4 linked regions of the Saccharomyces cerevisiae S288C genome follow. Each later gene encodes a partner of the first gene's protein in a complex. Each region holds a gene or a part of one and is shown on either strand. Other genes may lie near its edges. The genes, in order: SWI3, SWI1, SWP82 and SNF6. A codon is read from its position in the direction of its gene.

What was found.
Region 2: the proteins of SWI3 (region 1) and SWI1 are in contact, whole or in part, in a cryo-EM structure (PDB 7C4J), measured with the Saccharomyces cerevisiae proteins. Residues at the interface, in NP_012359.1 of Saccharomyces cerevisiae: Tyr310 (codon at 2,531), Ile322 (codon at 2,567), Gln325 (codon at 2,576), Ser326 (codon at 2,579), Leu327 (codon at 2,582), Pro328 (codon at 2,585), Arg380 (codon at 2,741), Lys383 (codon at 2,750), Phe384 (codon at 2,753), Lys387 (codon at 2,762), Trp388 (codon at 2,765), Pro419 (codon at 2,858), Arg420 (codon at 2,861), Gly421 (codon at 2,864), Leu422 (codon at 2,867), Phe425 (codon at 2,876), Leu598 (codon at 3,395), Pro599 (codon at 3,398), Phe600 (codon at 3,401), Ser601 (codon at 3,404), Glu604 (codon at 3,413), Asn605 (codon at 3,416), Lys702 (codon at 3,707), Glu705 (codon at 3,716), Lys706 (codon at 3,719), Glu709 (codon at 3,728), Leu710 (codon at 3,731), Lys713 (codon at 3,740), Glu716 (codon at 3,749), Arg717 (codon at 3,752); in NP_015309.1 of Saccharomyces cerevisiae: Arg670 (codon at 3,916), Leu671 (codon at 3,919), Lys672 (codon at 3,922), His673 (codon at 3,925), Tyr674 (codon at 3,928), Asn675 (codon at 3,931), Gly676 (codon at 3,934), Tyr677 (codon at 3,937), Pro694 (codon at 3,988), Phe696 (codon at 3,994), Leu697 (codon at 3,997), Glu701 (codon at 4,009), Leu702 (codon at 4,012), Gly703 (codon at 4,015), Gly720 (codon at 4,066), Glu721 (codon at 4,069), Thr724 (codon at 4,078), His792 (codon at 4,282), Asp793 (codon at 4,285), Met795 (codon at 4,291), Val796 (codon at 4,294), Asp797 (codon at 4,297), Ile799 (codon at 4,303), Phe800 (codon at 4,306), Val803 (codon at 4,315), Asn804 (codon at 4,318), Glu1197 (codon at 5,497), Lys1267 (codon at 5,707), Ala1270 (codon at 5,716), Ser1271 (codon at 5,719).
Region 3: the proteins of SWI3 (region 1) and SWP82 are in contact, whole or in part, in a cryo-EM structure (PDB 7EGM), measured with the Saccharomyces cerevisiae proteins. Residues at the interface, in NP_012359.1 of Saccharomyces cerevisiae: Ile299 (codon at 2,498), Pro300 (codon at 2,501), Gln301 (codon at 2,504), His303 (codon at 2,510), Arg345 (codon at 2,636), Asn348 (codon at 2,645), Phe349 (codon at 2,648), Asn352 (codon at 2,657), Ser353 (codon at 2,660), Leu356 (codon at 2,669), Asn357 (codon at 2,672), Asn359 (codon at 2,678), Glu360 (codon at 2,681), Tyr361 (codon at 2,684), Phe362 (codon at 2,687), Ser363 (codon at 2,690), Thr365 (codon at 2,696), Thr366 (codon at 2,699), Arg369 (codon at 2,708), Asn370 (codon at 2,711), Leu399 (codon at 2,798), Pro401 (codon at 2,804), Lys402 (codon at 2,807), Ile404 (codon at 2,813), Glu405 (codon at 2,816), Pro406 (codon at 2,819), Pro407 (codon at 2,822), Arg415 (codon at 2,846), His416 (codon at 2,849), Asp417 (codon at 2,852); in NP_116605.1 of Saccharomyces cerevisiae: Leu240 (codon at 1,678), Arg241 (codon at 1,675), Pro242 (codon at 1,672), Ser243 (codon at 1,669), Phe318 (codon at 1,444), Val320 (codon at 1,438), Tyr442 (codon at 1,072), Gly445 (codon at 1,063), Leu446 (codon at 1,060), Pro447 (codon at 1,057), Leu448 (codon at 1,054), Tyr449 (codon at 1,051), Glu450 (codon at 1,048), Thr453 (codon at 1,039), Glu456 (codon at 1,030), Arg457 (codon at 1,027), Glu468 (codon at 994), His471 (codon at 985), Leu472 (codon at 982), His473 (codon at 979), Asp474 (codon at 976), Ala475 (codon at 973), Val476 (codon at 970), Val478 (codon at 964), Asn479 (codon at 961), Thr480 (codon at 958), Leu482 (codon at 952), Gln483 (codon at 949), Arg486 (codon at 940), Lys487 (codon at 937).
Region 4: the proteins of SWI3 (region 1) and SNF6 are in contact, whole or in part, in a cryo-EM structure (PDB 7C4J), measured with the Saccharomyces cerevisiae proteins. Residues at the interface, in NP_012359.1 of Saccharomyces cerevisiae: Ala544 (codon at 3,233), Phe613 (codon at 3,440), Leu617 (codon at 3,452), Val618 (codon at 3,455), Asn619 (codon at 3,458), Leu664 (codon at 3,593), Arg667 (codon at 3,602), Ser668 (codon at 3,605), Ile670 (codon at 3,611), Phe671 (codon at 3,614), Asn674 (codon at 3,623), Arg677 (codon at 3,632), Asn680 (codon at 3,641), Phe681 (codon at 3,644), Asn684 (codon at 3,653), Glu685 (codon at 3,656), Arg688 (codon at 3,665), Met691 (codon at 3,674), Glu692 (codon at 3,677), Asp695 (codon at 3,686), Arg712 (codon at 3,737), Leu715 (codon at 3,746), Glu716 (codon at 3,749), Gln719 (codon at 3,758), Glu720 (codon at 3,761), Leu722 (codon at 3,767), Leu723 (codon at 3,770), Arg726 (codon at 3,779), Leu727 (codon at 3,782), Asn730 (codon at 3,791); in NP_011838.1 of Saccharomyces cerevisiae: Met120 (codon at 2,272), Leu121 (codon at 2,275), Ser122 (codon at 2,278), Thr124 (codon at 2,284), Thr125 (codon at 2,287), Val126 (codon at 2,290), Pro127 (codon at 2,293), Cys128 (codon at 2,296), Asp129 (codon at 2,299), Ile131 (codon at 2,305), Lys133 (codon at 2,311), Ser134 (codon at 2,314), Arg135 (codon at 2,317), Leu136 (codon at 2,320), Phe137 (codon at 2,323), Ser138 (codon at 2,326), Lys140 (codon at 2,332), Thr141 (codon at 2,335), Tyr144 (codon at 2,344), Lys148 (codon at 2,356), Thr165 (codon at 2,407), Pro166 (codon at 2,410), Leu167 (codon at 2,413), Lys168 (codon at 2,416), Tyr169 (codon at 2,419), Thr170 (codon at 2,422), Leu172 (codon at 2,428), Ile173 (codon at 2,431), Ala176 (codon at 2,440), Glu177 (codon at 2,443).

What each region holds. Positions count from the first base shown.
Region 1 is NC_001142.9:91,531-96,133, reverse strand, and holds SWI3 (Swi3p), read left to right. Parts: upstream 1-1,603; coding exon 1,604-4,081; downstream 4,082-4,603. Other genes in the region: KRE9 (Kre9p), read right to left, coding at 212-1,042; 60S ribosomal protein uL22 RPL17B, read right to left, coding at 4,477-4,603. UniProt on the Saccharomyces cerevisiae protein: Involved in transcriptional activation. Component of the SWI/SNF complex, an ATP-dependent chromatin-remodeling complex, which is required for the positive and negative regulation of gene expression of a large number of genes.
Region 2 is NC_001148.4:519,106-525,471, forward strand, and holds SWI1 (Swi1p), read left to right. Parts: upstream 1-1,908; coding exon 1,909-5,853; downstream 5,854-6,366. Other genes in the region: IRC15 (Irc15p), read right to left, coding at 1-1,128. UniProt on the Saccharomyces cerevisiae protein: Involved in transcriptional activation. Component of the SWI/SNF complex, an ATP-dependent chromatin remodeling complex, which is required for the positive and negative regulation of gene expression of a large number of genes.
Region 3 is NC_001138.5:34,784-39,197, reverse strand, and holds SWP82 (Swp82p), read right to left. Parts: upstream 2,396-4,414; coding exon 524-2,395; downstream 1-523. Other genes in the region: EMP47 (Emp47p), read left to right, coding at 1-355; putative Mg(2+) transporter ALR2, read left to right, coding at 3,350-4,414. UniProt on the Saccharomyces cerevisiae protein: Involved in transcriptional activation. Component of the SWI/SNF complex, an ATP-dependent chromatin remodeling complex, which is required for the positive and negative regulation of gene expression of a large number of genes.
Region 4 is NC_001140.6:52,937-56,393, forward strand, and holds SNF6 (Snf6p), read left to right. Parts: upstream 1-1,914; coding exon 1,915-2,913; downstream 2,914-3,457. Other genes in the region: alkaline-responsive transcriptional regulator RIM101, read left to right, coding at 1-52; YHL026C (uncharacterized protein), read right to left, coding at 283-1,230. UniProt on the Saccharomyces cerevisiae protein: Involved in transcriptional activation. Component of the SWI/SNF complex, an ATP-dependent chromatin remodeling complex, which is required for the positive and negative regulation of gene expression of a large number of genes.

The sequences.
Region 1 (4,603 bases):
TGTACTGTTGCCTCTATATGTCTTCCCTTCATATAATAAATTCCATTTCTAAAAAAATTGTAGTTGTGTTTATAGATGTATAGATAGATAAATGAATGTGTACTTGCTGCCTTAACGCCTTCCGCTAAAAACTTTTTGATATTTATTTTATTTTTAACCTTTCCTGACTTCAACCCTTACTGTAATGATGATAGTAGAAGCCGTCTATTTTTCATACTTTTCTCATGTTGATTTTCCTTGCAGACAAAGACAATCTCTTGGATGGTTTGTACCAACCACCATTATCTGAAGGCATAGATGCAGGAGTAGCGTAGTTTACTCCCGATGATATCGTATAAGACCAGCCAGGAGTTATCGTAGTTGCTTGCTCTGGCAATGACCCAAAGGTAGAGTAATATGTCACAGCACTAGTGGCAAATTTCCTTGTCCATGTGGTAGCGGTCACTTTAGTATTTGGCTGCATTTGCATTGGAGCGAAACGCGACGTACCAGTCTGCTTGGTGTACGGAACAGTAAATGAACGACTGTCAATAGTAGTGGCTTGGGCGTTGTTTGTAGTGGTTGTTTGAATAGAAGTCTGGGGAGTAGGTTCAGTTGTGGCACTATATGTATAAGCCGTAACACCGCCCATGGAAGTCAACTGGAATCTTGGTGTATAATGGATAGTGTAACCTTGACCGTCCACCTGGGCAAAAACTTGAATGTAATATTGACCGTTCCCAGTTAAGGTCGAAGCAAACTCAGCTGTGTAAGAGTAAACTTTATCATCTTGTGTTAGCTCACTTGGAGTAATTTTACTGGCAAGTACGGCCACACAGTCAATGTTGTTATTAGGACCAGTACAAAGACTGAACGTGAAAGTTGAAATCTTGCTTAACGAGGGATATGCCCCATTATCCATCCATTCAACGGGAACAGAGACAGTACCACCACTTGGACTGAATGTTGCCTTGGAGCTGGGGGAAACAATATTCACATCTCCCAGCACAAATGAGACTAAAAACACCAAAGCACATATGATGGAATTTCTTTGTAAACGCATTATCTATAATATGTCACAGTTGCTGATTCTCTGAGAAGGAAGTAAAAAGCGAAAGAGTAGATTCCTAGTAATCAAAACAAAGTGTGAACTGCCACTTTTAGCGCTTCTTGGAACTATCAAACTGGAGCAAATCTGGCTTCAAGAATGCTTTGAGACTCCTGTTCTATTCCTGTATTATCCTTGAAGATCTTTTTCGAGGAAAAAAAAAAAGAAATGTAAATAAAACACCTAATCGTCAAAAGTGATATTATATTGAACCGCCGTGGTTACGATGGAATAATGGTCAATACGCAGTTTAGATGGCATCCAACAATTCAGGATGGCCAATGATGTTATTTTAGTTTGAATTGATTACTTTTGAGCTAGTTTAAATTCGATTTAAGAGCCATTAAGTAGGCATCACGAATAACGAGGCCGGACGTTTGGCGTTTAGGCCATTGGCGAAAAGACGAAAACAAACTATATCAGATACGCAAGAGGAATGTGTAAAGGCCATGCAAGGCGCGATATATTGGTACATCGAGGCGCGTTCAGAGACCAATTGTGATACGGTTTGCAAGCATGGAGAATACACTGGGTGAGGGGTCCACGGTAAACGCTTCCGTGGACGTGGACCAACATGGCAATGACAACAATAGTGATAGCAACGCTAATGCAGCTGTGGCAGGGGTTGCCAATACAGATACTGCTGGTGAAGAATCGCAGCAACAAGATGAGTCTCTGAAGGATGAAGCAACTGTTCCGAACACACGCGATGCAGAAAGTGAGGCGATAACGGTAACGGCAAAGCAGCAGCCGACTATGCAAGCGAATAAGCTAGATTCCCAGGAAACACCTTCTACAGAAGAAAGCAGGGCCCAGAACGTCTTTGGCCAAGATAATGAGGATAGTGATAATCTCTTTGGCGAAACCGAGAGTTCTGTTTCGAACAATGAGGCAAACACTCCTAGTATACCTACGAACCCGGTAGACAATGAAAACAATAAGCCTGCTATTAAGGAAGACAGCACAATACAGGATTCAAATGGTGACGTTAAAAACATGGAGGACGTCAAAATACAAAAAGAGGAAGAACCAGAGAATAACACTGTTATTGAAGGTGTCAAAGAAGAAAGTCAGCCAGATGAGAACACAAAGGAAATGGATGAAGTGGAAGAAGATGATGAGGATGACGATCAACCGATGATTAGTCCTGATAATTCCATTTTTGGAGACACAAAGAGTGAGTCTAAACAACTAGGCAACACTTCGTCGGTTGCTAATACTCCATCTGAAATTCCAGATGCGCATAAAGCTGAACAGGAGGATATCATAGAAAAGACGGAAAGTGTAGATAAGAAGGTAGATAGTGGCGAAGAGAGAAACGAACAGGAACGTGAAATCATGAACGATCACTCCAAAAGTGCCAATCCAAAGAAAACCACTATCACCAGAGTAGAACCCGAAACTTTTGAGATACCGCAAGCACATGAAATTGTTATTCCAAGTTATTCTAAATGGTTCAATCTAGAAAAAATTCATTCCATTGAAGTTCAATCGTTACCTGAATTTTTCACCAATAGGATTCCATCAAAGACACCTGAAGTTTACATGAGATACAGAAACTTCATGGTAAATTCTTACAGGCTGAACCCCAACGAATATTTCAGTGTCACTACGGCGAGGAGAAACGTCTCTGGTGATGCTGCTGCATTATTCAGATTGCATAAATTCTTAACAAAATGGGGGCTAATAAACTATCAGGTTGACTCCAAACTATTACCTAAGAACATCGAACCCCCACTAACGTCTCAATATTCCACAAGGCATGATGCCCCCAGAGGACTATTCCCATTCGAAAGTTACAAACCATCTGTACAACTGCCGGATATGGCAAAGCTTAAAAAAATGATGAACACTAGTGATTCGGAGAGTACTTTATATAAATATTTGAAAGAAAGCAAAAGAAAATATGATGAAATAACTCACCCCCCCAGTACCACTGATGATGAAAATGGTGACAAAAATGATAATGGTGGTAAAATGAACAATGAAGTAAGTACGTCAACAAGCATGACTGGTGATGCCAATCTATTGGAAGAAGGCGAAACTTCACGTCCTCTGAAAAAAGTCAAAATTCTAGAACAAATTGATGAAAATTGGTCAAAAGAAGATTTGCAAAAGCTATTAAAGGGAATACAAGAATTCGGCGCTGACTGGTACAAAGTGGCCAAAAACGTTGGCAATAAGTCGCCTGAACAGTGTATCTTACGTTTCCTTCAATTGCCCATTGAAGATAAATTTTTATACGGTGACGGCAATGGCAAGGGTGATAATGACAACGGGTTAGGACCTTTGAAATATGCTCCTCACTTGCCATTTTCGAAGAGCGAAAACCCCGTTTTATCAACAATAGCATTCTTGGTGGGTTTGGTCAATCCGAAGACTGTACAGTCGATGACCCAGAGAGCCATTCAGTCCGCAGAATCAATAAAATCACAAAAAGAGGAAATCTCTGACCAAAAGCCAATTGAACATATTAAAGAAGGTTCAGAAATTGCCATATCATCATTGGGTTATAGGAGTCATATTTTCGCTACCAACGAGGAAAGGCAAATGAATTTTTTGACTAACGAGCTAATAAGACTTCAAATGGAAAAATTGGACGCTAAATTAAATCATTTAAAGAAACTAGAAAAATTTATGGAGCTAGAAAGGAAAACCCTAGAAAGACAACAGGAAAACTTACTAATTCAGAGATTGAACTTCAACCAAAACTCCAGCAAGATTGTAAACGTTTTAAGCAAATGCTTGAATTTAATATCCGACAGCAATATCAATAATAGTTCAGTGGCGGAGAAGGAGGAAATCAGGTCGCAGATAGACCATTTCAAAAGTATGCTATCGAAACCTGAAACTTTAAGTATTGGAAAGAATCCATTTAACAAACCTAATATTGAAACAGGTGAAAACCATAATGGCCAAAGTATATCTAACGAGAATGATGTCAAACCCATTTCTATTGAAGCACCTCAATTTTACAGGTATTGGTCGGCATAACAATGACACATGGAGATCATTTTTGTTTTTGTTGTAATTATTCTTCATTAGTAACACTTTCTATTTTGTTTCGCTCTATATTTTTGCTTATTTTCTTTCTTCTAGGTTCATTTCTTTAATGGTGCGTCACTTGACTTGGCTTCTCTCTGATTTTTATCCCATTTCTCTAGATTCGACTAGACATGTTATGTACATGTAGATATATATCTATAATTGTGTTATTTTCTATTTTTTCTATTTTTTTTATTTAAAAGAGCCTTTATCAAAAGTTATTTTTCTTGTTCTGTGTTGTTCTTAGTTTGATTTTGATTCTGTGTATTGGCCTAAACAAATTAGTATATAGTAGTATATAAATCAAATATTCACTTTAAAAGATTTTAAAATTAAAAAAGCATTTAAGCAGAGATACGTTTTTGGGCAGCAATTCTACCTCTTTGTCTAGAAGTCAATCTGACAACCTTCTTTTCAGCAGCCTTGGCGACAGCTTCTTCCTTTTCGGTAACAACCAATTCAATGTGAGAT
Region 2 (6,366 bases), on another chromosome or scaffold:
AGGCTGACAGTACAGCACATTTGGTGGGAAGCCACAATTCGAGGTTCCGTCGGAGCCTGTACAGCCTATTGATTGAATGGCCCTTATAGCTTGTTCTTCCGCTTTCAGCGCCAGCATGGGGCCCAATGTAACGTCTCCTATGGGTTTAATATGAGGGTACTTTAGCAGACTTTGGGTTTGTACGTCAACATTTTCTACAAAATCCCGTTCGTCTAGACCAATGCTGGAAATATCTAAACCTTTTAGCAGGGGACGTCTACCAATAGAAACCATCAAGACGTCGCAATGATGTACATATGTTTTCTTTGACACCTTGTTAAGCAAGGTGATGTTCAGCTGACCGGCAGCATCGGCTTCCGCGAGCTGCACTCTAGTGTCTAAAAGAAAAGCTATACCCTGACACTGCAAGAGGGTCTTCGTGGCAGAAGCCAACTCATTGTCCATATTTTGACAGATCTCGCTTTGAGATTCAACGATAGTAACCCGAGAGCCCAAATTATTGAATATGCATGCGATTTCTAGTCCAATTGTACCTCCTCCCATGATAGTAAAACGTGAAGGTATATAATCCAGTGACAATGCCTTATCAGATGAAATTATCTTGTCATTATCTATTGCAACACCAGGACACTGAATAACCGCAGATCCGGTCGCCACAACAATATATTTCGCCTCTACGATGAACGGTTTCATGCCGCGCTGCGCAATCTCAACGTGGTGAGGATCTTTGAAAGCAGCCGTGCCTTTATACACAGTAACATTATTTTTAGATAGCTCACGTTTATACACATTGCCCAACTCTTCTATATTATGTTTGAGTGCACTCTGGGCCGCCTGCATATCGAATTTTGCAGGAAACAGCCGCGTGCCACGTTGCTCGATAAGTTCTTGCTGTTGTAGCAGCCGATAAAGATAAGACTCATATAACAAGGTCTTGGACGGGACTGCCCCGTCTACAAGGTAGGCGCCCCCCAGCGAGGCACGCTGGTCAACACATGCTGTGAGCAGGCCTGCTTGCGAAGCCTGCATCGCTGCAGTAAAGCCACCAGGCCCGCAACCAATTACCAGGACATCGTAAACTGCCGCAAAATCCTCCATCGTGCTTAATATTTCGTCTTCACCTCCCATTACCAAAAATGCTCACCGTTAATTATATCATACTTCTCTTCTCCTCTCGTAAAATCGTGCGCATGTTAAATAGCCGCCGAAACAGCAGATGCATGCCTGCAGGTCTGGGTGTACCCCCTGCCTGAGTGTTCCACCCAGGCCTCGCCGGAGGAAAATGCCACCGCACTCAAGTTCGCACAGAAACTACCGCATAAATTTATTCTAACCCGGAACTGACGTTTATCGTGATATGAACTTTGGGTATCTCCGATTACGAAACGACGCCACCCCTCCTTCCCCAAAGCACCGAGAAAAGATTTTTTTTAAAACTGAACGCTGATTGACTTTACGTATTATTACCACTATGCATTATTGTTGTTTCTGTTGTGGTTGTTGCCAGTTGTAATCATATTCACATTGCGTTTTAGTCATAACCACCTTCCGGTATTCATCATTCGTATTGAATAACAATATTTATACCGCAAAACACTATACGGCAAGGCAACTGATTACACTTTGTTTACCTTATTTTTTTATTATTTATTTTTCTAGAAAGTATTGTTGTGTGGCTCTATCCTTATTACACCATCTCTGCTTTGGCATTTCGCGTTGTTTCCTCTCACGGATTGCAGATTATTGTTCACCAGGTAATAATCACTGACTGGCGGCTATTTTCCTATTACACTCATTATTCTTAAAATTTTCTTTTTCTATCTCTATTTTCTTTCTTTTCGTGTCTTATAATAATAATAATAATAATAATAATAAAAATAGTAATAATAAAAATAGTAATAAATAAAGATGGATTTCTTTAATTTGAATAATAATAATAATAATAATAATACTACTACTACTACTACTACTACCAATAACAATAATACTAATAATAATAATACTAATAATAATAATAATCCTGCTAATAATACCAATAACAACAATAGCACAGGCCATAGTAGTAATACTAATAACAATACTAATAACAACAATACGAATACCGGAGCCAGTGGTGTAGACGATTTTCAGAATTTTTTCGACCCAAAACCTTTTGACCAGAATTTGGATTCCAACAATAACAACAGTAATAGTAATAACAATGATAACAATAACAGTAACACGGTAGCCTCCAGCACGAACTTTACTTCTCCAACAGCAGTCGTTAATAATGCCGCTCCTGCTAATGTTACCGGTGGAAAAGCTGCTAATTTCATTCAGAACCAGTCTCCCCAATTCAATTCTCCATATGACTCAAACAATTCCAACACAAATTTAAACAGCCTGTCTCCTCAGGCTATTTTAGCCAAGAATTCAATCATTGATTCTTCCAATTTACCTCTTCAAGCTCAACAACAGCTATATGGCGGTAACAATAATAATAATAGCACCGGAATTGCGAACGATAATGTAATAACACCCCATTTTATCACCAATGTTCAATCCATCAGTCAAAATTCCTCATCTTCTACTCCGAACACAAACTCTAACTCTACTCCGAATGCAAATCAACAATTTTTGCCATTCAATAACAGTGCTTCCAATAATGGTAATTTGACGTCTAACCAGCTTATTTCTAATTACGCTGCTTCAAATTCAATGGACAGATCATCCTCTGCAAGCAATGAATTTGTTCCGAACACAAGTGACAACAACAACAACAGTAATAACCATAATATGCGTAATAACAGCAATAATAAAACGAGCAATAACAATAATGTCACTGCCGTGCCTGCTGCAACTCCCGCTAATACCAATAATTCAACTTCAAACGCAAATACAGTGTTCTCTGAAAGAGCTGCAATGTTTGCCGCTTTGCAGCAAAAGCAGCAGCAACGTTTTCAGGCTCTACAGCAGCAGCAGCAGCAGCAACAAAATCAACAACAGCAAAATCAACAACCACAACAGCAACAACAGCAACAACAGAATCCCAAATTTTTGCAGAGTCAACGGCAGCAACAACAAAGATCTATTTTACAAAGTCTGAACCCGGCATTACAAGAGAAAATATCTACTGAATTGAATAACAAACAATATGAACTTTTTATGAAATCTTTGATTGAAAACTGTAAAAAAAGAAATATGCCGTTACAATCAATACCAGAAATCGGCAACAGAAAAATAAATCTTTTTTATCTTTATATGTTGGTTCAAAAATTCGGTGGTGCAGATCAAGTAACAAGGACCCAACAGTGGTCTATGGTGGCCCAAAGGCTGCAAATTTCCGATTACCAACAATTAGAATCAATCTATTTTAGAATTTTATTACCTTACGAAAGACACATGATTTCCCAAGAAGGTATAAAGGAAACTCAAGCGAAAAGAATATTCTTGCAACAGTTCTTACAAGAACTATTGAAGAAAGTTCAACAACAGCAGCAGGCCGCTGCATTGGCCAATGCCAACAATAACATTAATAGTGCATCGTCAGCACCAACCCCCGCGGCTCCTGGCGCGTCCGTTCCTGCTACAGCAGCACCAGGAACAGAAGCAGGGATCGTTCCGGTTTCAGCAAACACTCCAAAAAGCTTGAATAGCAATATTAATATCAACGTAAATAATAACAATATTGGCCAACAGCAAGTTAAGAAGCCAAGAAAGCAAAGAGTGAAAAAAAAGACCAAAAAGGAATTGGAACTAGAACGTAAAGAAAGGGAGGATTTTCAGAAACGACAACAAAAACTTTTAGAGGATCAACAAAGGCAACAGAAATTGCTATTAGAGACAAAATTACGTCAACAATATGAAATCGAACTAAAAAAATTGCCTAAAGTCTACAAGAGATCAATTGTTAGGAACTACAAACCCCTAATCAACCGCCTCAAGCATTACAATGGTTACGATATCAATTACATCTCTAAAATAGGAGAGAAAATAGATTCCAACAAGCCAATTTTTCTCTTCGCGCCAGAGTTAGGTGCAATTAATTTACATGCTTTATCAATGTCCCTCCAATCGAAGAATCTTGGAGAAATAAACACCGCCTTGAACACCTTGTTGGTCACAAGCGCTGACTCGAACTTAAAAATATCTCTGGTCAAATACCCTGAATTATTAGACTCCTTGGCAATACTCGGCATGAATTTACTGTCAAATTTGTCACAAAATGTTGTTCCATACCATCGAAACACTTCTGACTATTATTATGAGGATGCTGGATCAAATCAATACTATGTTACCCAACACGATAAAATGGTTGATAAAATTTTTGAAAAGGTAAACAACAACGCTACACTTACACCGAATGATTCTAACGATGAAAAAGTCACTATCCTGGTAGATTCTTTAACAGGTAATCAATTGCCCACCCCTACTCCTACTGAAATGGAGCCTGATCTCGACACTGAATGTTTTATAAGTATGCAGTCGACATCTCCCGCAGTTAAACAGTGGGACTTATTGCCTGAACCAATAAGATTCCTCCCTAACCAATTTCCTTTGAAAATTCACAGAACTCCTTATTTGACTTCTTTGAAAAAAATCAAGGATGAAATTGATGATCCATTTACAAAAATAAATACCAGAGGGGCAGAGGATCCCAAAGTTCTGATTAACGATCAACTGTCTACCATCTCGATGATTTTGAGGAATATTTCATTCTCCGATAACAACTCCAGAATCATGTCGAGAAATTTTTACCTAAAGAGATTTATATCTGATCTACTTTGGTTAGTCTTAATCCATCCAGAAAACTTTACATGCAATAGGAAAATACTAAATTTCAAGAAGGATTTGGTTATTGTTTTATCAAATATTTCTCATTTATTAGAGATCGCTTCGTCCATTGATTGCTTGTTAATTCTTATTCTAGTCATAAGTTTTGGTCAACCAAAACTCAATCCAATGGCGTCTTCGTCATCATTTGGCTCTGAATCTTTGACCTTCAACGAATTCCAGTTGCAATGGGGAAAATATCAAACTTTCGGTGTAGATATTTTGGCCAAATTATTTTCATTGGAAAAACCGAACCTAAATTATTTCAAATCAATCCTTCTGAACAAAAACACAGGTAACAACCTCTATGATCGCAACAGTAACAACAACCACAAGGACAAAAAGTTGTTACGAAGACTTTTGAATTTATACAATGATAACAATAAAAATAATAACAATAGGCACAACTTGCTAAATGATGTGGTTTCGTTTTTATTTTCTGCCATACCGCTGCAGCAAGTGTTATCGCAATCAGCTGATCCAAGTTTGCTGATCGACCAATTTTCTCCGGTAATTTCTCAGAGTCTAACTAGCATCTTAGTCATTGTACAAAAAATATTGCCGTTATCCAATGAAGTATTTGAAATCAGTGAGAATAATTCAGACAGTAACAGTAACAATAACGGCAACAAAGATTCTAGCTTCAATTTCAACAAGAATTTACCATTTGTGTGGTTGAGCTCTGAAGAAAATATTGGATCTGGACTATTGAAGTTAAGTGAGATAATATTGAATATTAACAATTCCACAAGTAAGAATACTTTGTTACAGCAACAAAATTATTCAAAGGTGCTCCTACCGTCAATTAACATATCCTGTGTTCAGTTAATCAAATGTTTGGTTGAAAAAAGTATTTGTTTTGAAAACTGCCTAAACAACGACCCGGAAATATTAAAAAAAATAGCATCGATTCCAAATTTGTTCCCCACGGATTTAGAAATTTTCCAGTTATTCACTAATCCATCAGTTGATATTCAAATAATAAACCAGTATCAATTACTTTACAATTTAAAAAATGATATCCTAACCAATTTGGAATGATGCGATTTTTTTAAACAATATTCTTTTACTGCTTATTTCTTCCTTGCGCACTATTTTCTTTTTATAAACCTATATAAAATGTTGTAACTAATATAATAGACCTTATGGAAACAATACAGTCGGAAGAGCGCCTTTAGTGCCAAAAGCCCAAATGAACGTATAGCTGCCATGAAGTCACATCTTGGGCGGCTCAACTAAACAATGGTTTTAGTAACTTCCCACTGGTCCCGTCGCGGCTACAAAAATTCCTTGAAATTGTATAAAGGAGTTTATGACTCCATTTCAGGCAGTAAATACAATTCATACACACCACACATACATTCAGAGTTAACGTTCGCTATAATAAAACGGTAGAGAGTCAGATGTGGAGTCAGCGTGGGGGGTGGGGTAACACTCCACCTTTGAAAACGGTGTGACTTCGCCCTTTCGATGGGAGGAGGTAAAGCTCAAATAGGACAGAATCATCCAAGAAAATTTCAAGCTGCCCACAAAGTCAAGATCGCTTCAGAAGCT
Region 3 (4,414 bases), on another chromosome or scaffold:
TGATGTCATTAAGGTCCAACAAGAGCTATTATCATTCATGACTACGATAACTAAACAGCTCTCTTCTAAGCCACCAGCTAATAATGAAAAGGGAACGTCCACCGATGATGCAATCGCTGAGGATAAAGAAAATTTCAAAGACTTCTTATCAATCAATCAGAAATTGGAGAAAGTCCTGGTTGAACAAGAAAAGTATAGGGAAGCTACCAAACGTCATGGACAAGATGGTCCTCAGGTCGACGAAATTGCCAGAAAACTAATGATTTGGTTACTTCCATTAATTTTCATTATGTTGGTTATGGCATATTACACATTCAGAATCAGACAAGAGATCATAAAGACCAAACTGCTATGATTTTGGATTATTCCTTCCACTCAAACCAATTGTGCACATGCATTCCCTATATATGTATATATATGTAACAATACATATTTTATAAAATAACGAACGATAGTTTATATTACTACTTCAACAATGGTTTATTTCTTATTGGAGTGTTCCCTACATTATGTTTTACTTCTTTCAATTATTCATAGCTACTTCGTTGCTGAAGTTAGCCAGGTTGTCCGGTTTAGCGGCGACCGGATCCGTCGCCACCACTGGATTAGCATTTGTGTTCTTTACTTCAGTGTCCAGCTTAACAGCCGTTTTATCCCCAGCGACATTTTGTGGTACTTTGTTCACATGAGAATAAATGTATGGAGGTTTAAAATCCTTAATGTTACAATTTCCTAGGAAGTTTGGGTTCGGTACCCTCTTTGTTGTTATTGTTTCATCCGTATTCGTTATTTCGTTAAAATTTGTAGTAACACTCGTTTGCGCCAACACATCTTTCAAATATTTATTTTTGAATTCATCCAATTGAGACCGTTTCAAACCGATAGGAATACCTGCCTTGTACTGCCAGTACTTTTTCCATTTTTTTGTCCTAACTTTTCTAACGTTCTGCAAACCGGTATTAACAAAAACGGCATCGTGTAAATGCTCTAGTTCTTTAATTTCGTTCGGTGTCAGCTGTTTCAACCTTTCTAGCAGCGTGTTTTTTTCATATAACGGCAATCCTCTATAATATTGCTGTTTACCTGAATTCTCGGCGGATTTTAATGGCAAAGATTCAAATTTCCAGCCGTTTATGTTTAACGATGTATTATTTTTGTGTTGGCCCTTGTTCATGGGTTTTATCATTTCGTTCTCCTCAGACTTCTTGTTTTTTGATGAGGAAACGTTAATATCAAGAATGCTACTTAGCATTCGTTTGATTGGTTTATTGCTAGGATTGACAGATGGAATATGGTTAGGAAGTGAAATTGAAGCGGAACCATCAGGAGCTTGACTTTCATATTGCGCAAGTAATTCTTCATGTCTTCCGATTGGTATGTCCATTGCCTTCATTTGCAGAGCTTGTTGAAATGAGTTTTTGCTGTGATAACGCGGTACTCTAAATTGTGCACTGAGTTCCAATGTTCCACTAATGCTTTGACCAGGAACAATTGCCGAAATGTGCTCACCTTTGGCAAAGTTTTCAATATAGGCTTCTCTAATCTCCGCTGACGGTTGTTCCGTGACTATTGGATACTGTGATTCGAATTTTGAAGTAGAAATCGTACAGGTATTATTAGTGTTCGCACTAATTTCATTGGCATTGCTAATCCTGTTATTTTGGAAGGAGGGGCGTAAAAGTGAGATTTTAGAAATTAAATTTGTTGATAATTTGAAAACCCTTTGGTGAGACGACAAATTTTGCTTTTTAGCTAAAGATTCCCAATAATCATCAACGATGCGTTGACCACCGGCAATAACAGAAGCACCGAATTCAACAAAGGCTGACCTGGCAGTTATATACTTAAAAGATCCTTTGGATTCTTCAGGAATGACACCATTTTTGGCCAAAAATTTTGTTTGTTCCTCAGAAGTTTCCATTACCAGAATTTGATCATGCTGGACAATAAACTCGTCCTCGTCATGCGTTGCGTTGCTTTGGTATAACACTTTAATGACATCTTGTAAAAGTACCAGAAGAACACCCATATGAGCCGTGAATGTGAAGGTGTTGAACAAATAATGTCTACCGCCAAATAATTCACCGTTCGAACCCACTTTTTTCTCACCATAAGCATCCAATTGTATCATCTTGTAGGATGTATTAGTAGCGTCTCTCGTCTTAAGTTCATCTATATATTTCGGTAATTCTAATTTTTTGTAGGGAAATTTGTCTAAGGGAGGTTGAACCAATTCATCTTGATCCAGGATTTGCAGAATTTGCTTAAGTATCACTCTTTCATGTTCTCTGATAAGTATTTTGGGTACTATAAATACAGCTCCAACCTCTCCTTGTTTTACAGAAGGATTATTTCCCTTTTCAAGAACGGTATTCCCTTCATCTTCGCCAAGCATATTCGTCTCTCTTTAAAACGCCCTTTGTTTTGGTTCTTCTTCCTACTTTTTTTATTTATAGTATTATACATTCCATGTTTTTCTTGTTTTTACATTGAGAAAAGTCCAGAAAGGGAAAAGTGATGGTTCGAAAAAAAAATATAGACGGCTGAAACTACAACTATATTTAATGCACAGGGCCACTTTCTGAACGGCTAATCTTTCCATGTCAGGATATATTTCCGTTGTACTTGACGAGGTCATAATACTCTGAAAATTTTTTTAGATACGACAAATATATCAGCTGCTAAACTCCTTTATGGATGTGTTGAAGGGAACACTTATCGCTTATTCTTCCTACGTGCTAGATTCCGTAACTGAGCTGTACTTCCCACATCGTAGTTGCCTAAATGTGAGAAACAAGAAGTGCCCTTCGTGCTTAGACCGTGGATATCATATATGTGAAGGTTGACAGTTCTTCCAAGTTTCAACAAACTATGCAAGACCTCCATTAATTTATACGCACATTCATTTGACAGAGGCCCTGTATACAAGAAGTACAGACAAAACTAACCGTTGTCCATATCCTACTATCAAACTATTCTTTCAGGTACGTTTTTACTGCCTGACCGGCTATAAGTTACAAAAGCGACTCCTTGAGATAAAAATTTTCTTCGAAAAATGCAGCATTTGGTTTGGCTGTTCACGAAAGTGGCTGCTTCCAGAGAAATCAGGTTTTCCTCGAGCATATGATATTTTAACGTAGAGGTTTATATTATAAAAGTGGAAAGGTAAAATCAACAGCGTTTATTTCCTCTATTCAATGTTCAGCAAGGACGGTAGAGACTACTATTGCTAAACAATTACTTACATGGAAATGTACTGTCAGTTGGATAAAAAAATCGACAGGAATATATTTTAATCACCTTTATAGAAGTACTGAATTTTTATGAGAAAACGTGAAAAAACTTCGTAATGTCGTCCTTATCCACTTCATTTGATTCATCGTCAGATTTACCAAGGTCAAAATCCGTTGACAATACGGCGGCTTCCATGAAGACAGGCAAGTACCCAAAATTAGAGAACTATAGGCAGTATTCTGATGCACAACCAATACGTCACGAAGCGCTTGCATTGAAAGTGGACGAAACGAAAGATTCTAGACACAAATTTAGTTCCTCTAACGGGGAGAATAGTGGAGTGGAAAATGGAGGCTATGTGGAGAAAACGAATATATCCACAAGTGGCCGCATGGATTTTGAAGGTGAAGCAGAAGCAGAAGCAGTGAAACGTTACCAGTTAAGATCTTTCGCGCTTTTAAGTTCTAATGCGAGGCCATCCAGGCTAGCAAAGTCTGAAACTCACCAAAAGCAGATTCATGTAGAGAGCATCGCTCCCTCTTTGCCAAAGAATGCGGCTTTAGAGAGAGGCCATGATACGGCGTTACCTGCCGGTACGTCAAGTAACAGATGCAACTTAGAAGCCTCCTCCTCGGCAAGAACTTTTACAAGCGCTCGTAAGGCTTCGCTAGTTAGCGCAATCTTTGAAACATCGGCTGAATCAGAGCATGGTACGCATCCCAAACAGGCGAAACTTAAGAGAAGAACCTATTCTACAATATCGACACATTCATCAGTCAATCCTACAACGTTGTTGACAAGAACTGCATCGCAAAAGTCCGATATGGGAAATGACACACGAAGAATTAAACCGTTACGTATGGATAGCAGGGTATCTTTCCATAGTGAGATATCGCAAGCATCCAGGGATTCTCAAGAAACAGAAGAAGACGTTTGTTTTCCAATGTTTCGACTATTACATACAAGAGTTAATGGTGTTGATTTTGATGAGTTGGAAGAATATGCCCAGATTTCAAATGCTGAAAGAAATCTGTCTTTGGCGAACCATCAAAGGCACAGTGAACGAACATACAATCATACCGACCAAGATACTGGATTTACTAACTCTGCTTCCACTTCAGGATCCTCAGCAGCTCTGAAATATACACCTGAAATTTCACGGACTCTTGAAAAAAATTGC
Region 4 (3,457 bases), on another chromosome or scaffold:
GGGAACTAACTCAGTTCGCATCTTGACCAAGTATCCCAAAATTTTGGTATGATATGGATTGTCGGATATTTTATTCTTAGTTGTTTCTTTGCGGCTGTATAGTAAATGAATAAATCACACATGCCCTAGCGCGGCGTCGCGGATTAAACAAGGTAACAATGGTTAAAGGAAAAATTATTTGTTAAGGTGGGTATATTATAGATTGCTAATTGTAAAGTATTAATAGTTTATTAAGTATTAAACTAGAGTTCGCACATGCTTTTATTTTTTTGTTGCTTTTCTTCACGCTACCGCTTCTTGAGACTGTTGTTTGGTAGTACTGATATCTTGATCGGTTGATCCCGAGCTGCGATTACCCGTGGAGCAAACTTCTTGATCCTGCTGTAGCGTACCGTTTGCTAAGCCTTCATAGTAAAGTTCCTCGTGAAACTGGTTTCTCAACACAATGACGATGATGGCCACTGGAGTGCATACAAAGGCAATTACAACGGCATAAATCAACTTCATGACCTGCGGTAGTGGATAATCGTTGAAGTAGTAGTCGTGGGACCCGACCTTATGGCCTATACCAGCAAGGATACCCATAGTGACTGGCCAAATGACAATGAACATGGCAATGGCTAGGATCATAGATCTGATGAATTTCTGCACAAACCATTCTATAAAGTTCATGAATTTGGACTGAGTAGAATCATGAATGAACTGAGATGTGAGAAAACCTTTCAACGTAGCTTCTTTACCTTTGGGAATGATTCCTCTATTGACCTCTAAATAGCCAAAGAGCCAATTATGCTTATGATACAGAGTGTTCTGCTTCGCAACGACGTTGTCTTTGGATTCGAAGTAATCCACAATGAAACGCTTTTTAGGGGGTGGTATTTCTTCGTTAGATTCGGTTTTCAGTGGTGACGGTTTCGTAATCCATTTATTCAATCTGAAAACAGGCCTCTTGTAGTCATCGAATCCAACTAAAATTTCCTCGCTAGCCCATGTAAGACCCACCTGGATGAATAAACTTAGTGCACAATCGCCTGAAATGGTGTGAGGAAATGCCCATAAGGTGATAAGATCTACACGGGAATGGTACATGGCATATGCGATGGCAAACTCGATGCCGCCCGAGATTATTGCAGAACCTAGCGCTTGGATGACGAAAAGGTAGAAGATGATGAACCAGATGGAATTTCTGAACCCGGTCGGGGTCGCTGGCGCTGGCTCTGAGGATTTCATATATGTGAAGAGCGTCTATTTTCAAGGGTGTTGATGCATATATATCCGTATATATGTGTGCCGGTGGAAGGTTATAACATCTTGAAGAAAGAAAGAGGAGAAATTGGTTTTAGATCAAGGACAGATAAACTATATCTTTCAAAAGCCGATGCAAATCGTATACAGCAAATATCAATGAAGGAATGCGATGGAGGTGATGCTAGTGTGGACTGCACTATTTTTTTTTCCTGTTTTTTTCCACTTTTGTGTAGGAAGAGTATTGAATCAGGAAAGCGGGAAAAACCGCAAAGAAAAAAGTAAACTTATCCGTGAAAATCAATTACATTACCGAAAATGGCAAGATCCAAACAAGAAAAGTAAGTAAACGAATGCGAATACTGGAACAAGCAGGGCATAAAGAGGCACATGCGTCGTTTGTAGCCGACGTGCTTCATTTATCAGGTTAGTTGGCAGCGGCTGGACCATACAGGTTCTCACAATGTGTTGGTCTACGTTCGGTCATGCACCACGGTTGTTCCGTCAAACGGTCAGAAAACACACGCGGAAAATCCAAAGGAAAAGATGGGAGAGAAAAAACATGAAGTTGAGAAGCAACGAAACAAGGTTTGATCCAGAAAGGGGAGGCTAAAGGCGAAAAAGGCGAAAGAAAAGCGTTTAAGAGAATTTTACAAACGTAGTAAAATAATGGGTGTCATCAAGAAGAAAAGATCGCACCATGGAAAGGCTTCGCGCCAACAATACTACTCTGGGGTACAGGTTGGGGGAGTAGGCAGCATGGGCGCCATAAACAATAACATCCCGTCGTTGACGAGCTTCGCGGAGGAAAACAACTATCAGTACGGATACAGCGGCTCCAGTGCCGGCATGAATGGCAGATCGCTTACGTACGCGCAGCAACAGCTTAATAAGCAAAGACAGGACTTCGAACGTGTACGACTTAGACCAGAACAGCTCAGCAATATCATACATGACGAGAGCGACACGATATCGTTCCGATCCAACCTTTTGAAGAACTTTATAAGCTCGAACGACGCATTTAACATGCTGAGTTTGACCACGGTACCGTGCGACAGAATTGAGAAGTCCAGATTGTTCAGTGAAAAAACAATAAGATATCTCATGCAAAAACAACACGAAATGAAAACACAAGCGGCAGAGTTGCAAGAAAAGCCTCTGACGCCACTTAAATACACAAAACTTATAGCTGCGGCAGAGGACGGAAGCCGTAGCACAAAGGATATGATAGATGCTGTCTTCGAGCAAGATAGTCATTTGAGGTACCAGCCGGACGGCGTGGTCGTACATCGTGACGATCCTGCGCTGGTGGGTAAACTCCGCGGAGATCTCCGCGAAGCGCCGGCGGACTACTGGACGCATGCTTATAGGGATGTTTTGGCGCAATACCACGAGGCCAAGGAGCGTATCAGGCAGAAGGAAGTAACTGCAGGTGAAGCACAGGACGAAGCCAGCTTGCAGCAGCAACAGCAGCAAGATTTGCAGCAACAGCAACAAGTAGTGACTACAGTTGCCTCGCAAAGTCCTCATGCAACTGCAACGGAAAAGGAGCCAGTACCCGCCGTGGTTGACGACCCACTGGAGAACATGTTCGGAGATTATTCCAATGAGCCGTTCAACACCAATTTCGACGATGAATTTGGAGATCTTGATGCTGTATTTTTTTAATAGCCATGGGCGGCTACTTCTTGGAAATATATACTTTCCTTTTACATATTTAGTATAGTTATACATGTGGATGTGTATGGAGGTAAGATCAGATAGACCCTTCACTGTTTTCTGTGTATTCCTTGTGACATAGTGGATTTGTGCAGCTACTGCTTATAGGAAGCAGTGCCTGCAAAACAATTCATTCGTTGGTTGATGTGGCGCGCTGACTGAATGTGTAGGGTCTGTTGTTACCCCCTTGCTCCGGGGGCCCACATCTCTCTGACGCGAAGAAAGGCTCGAGATGTGCCAGTCGTAAACACCGCCTCATTTCCCTTGCATTCTCCTCCAGTGAAAAAGCAGTACGACCTATCTCCGAAAAAAAAAAACCTCCTGTGCGTTTACTGTGGATCATGCAACACGATTTCTGTAGATTAAAGACGTTTTTGGCATGGACTAAGCTAAATTCCGTTTGATTAGCCGCCCATAACGGGTGGCAAACAACACGATGAAACTCTATATCCCCGCTTAACGTTTCGGCGGCTGTGATCAAGGAAAATAGTAT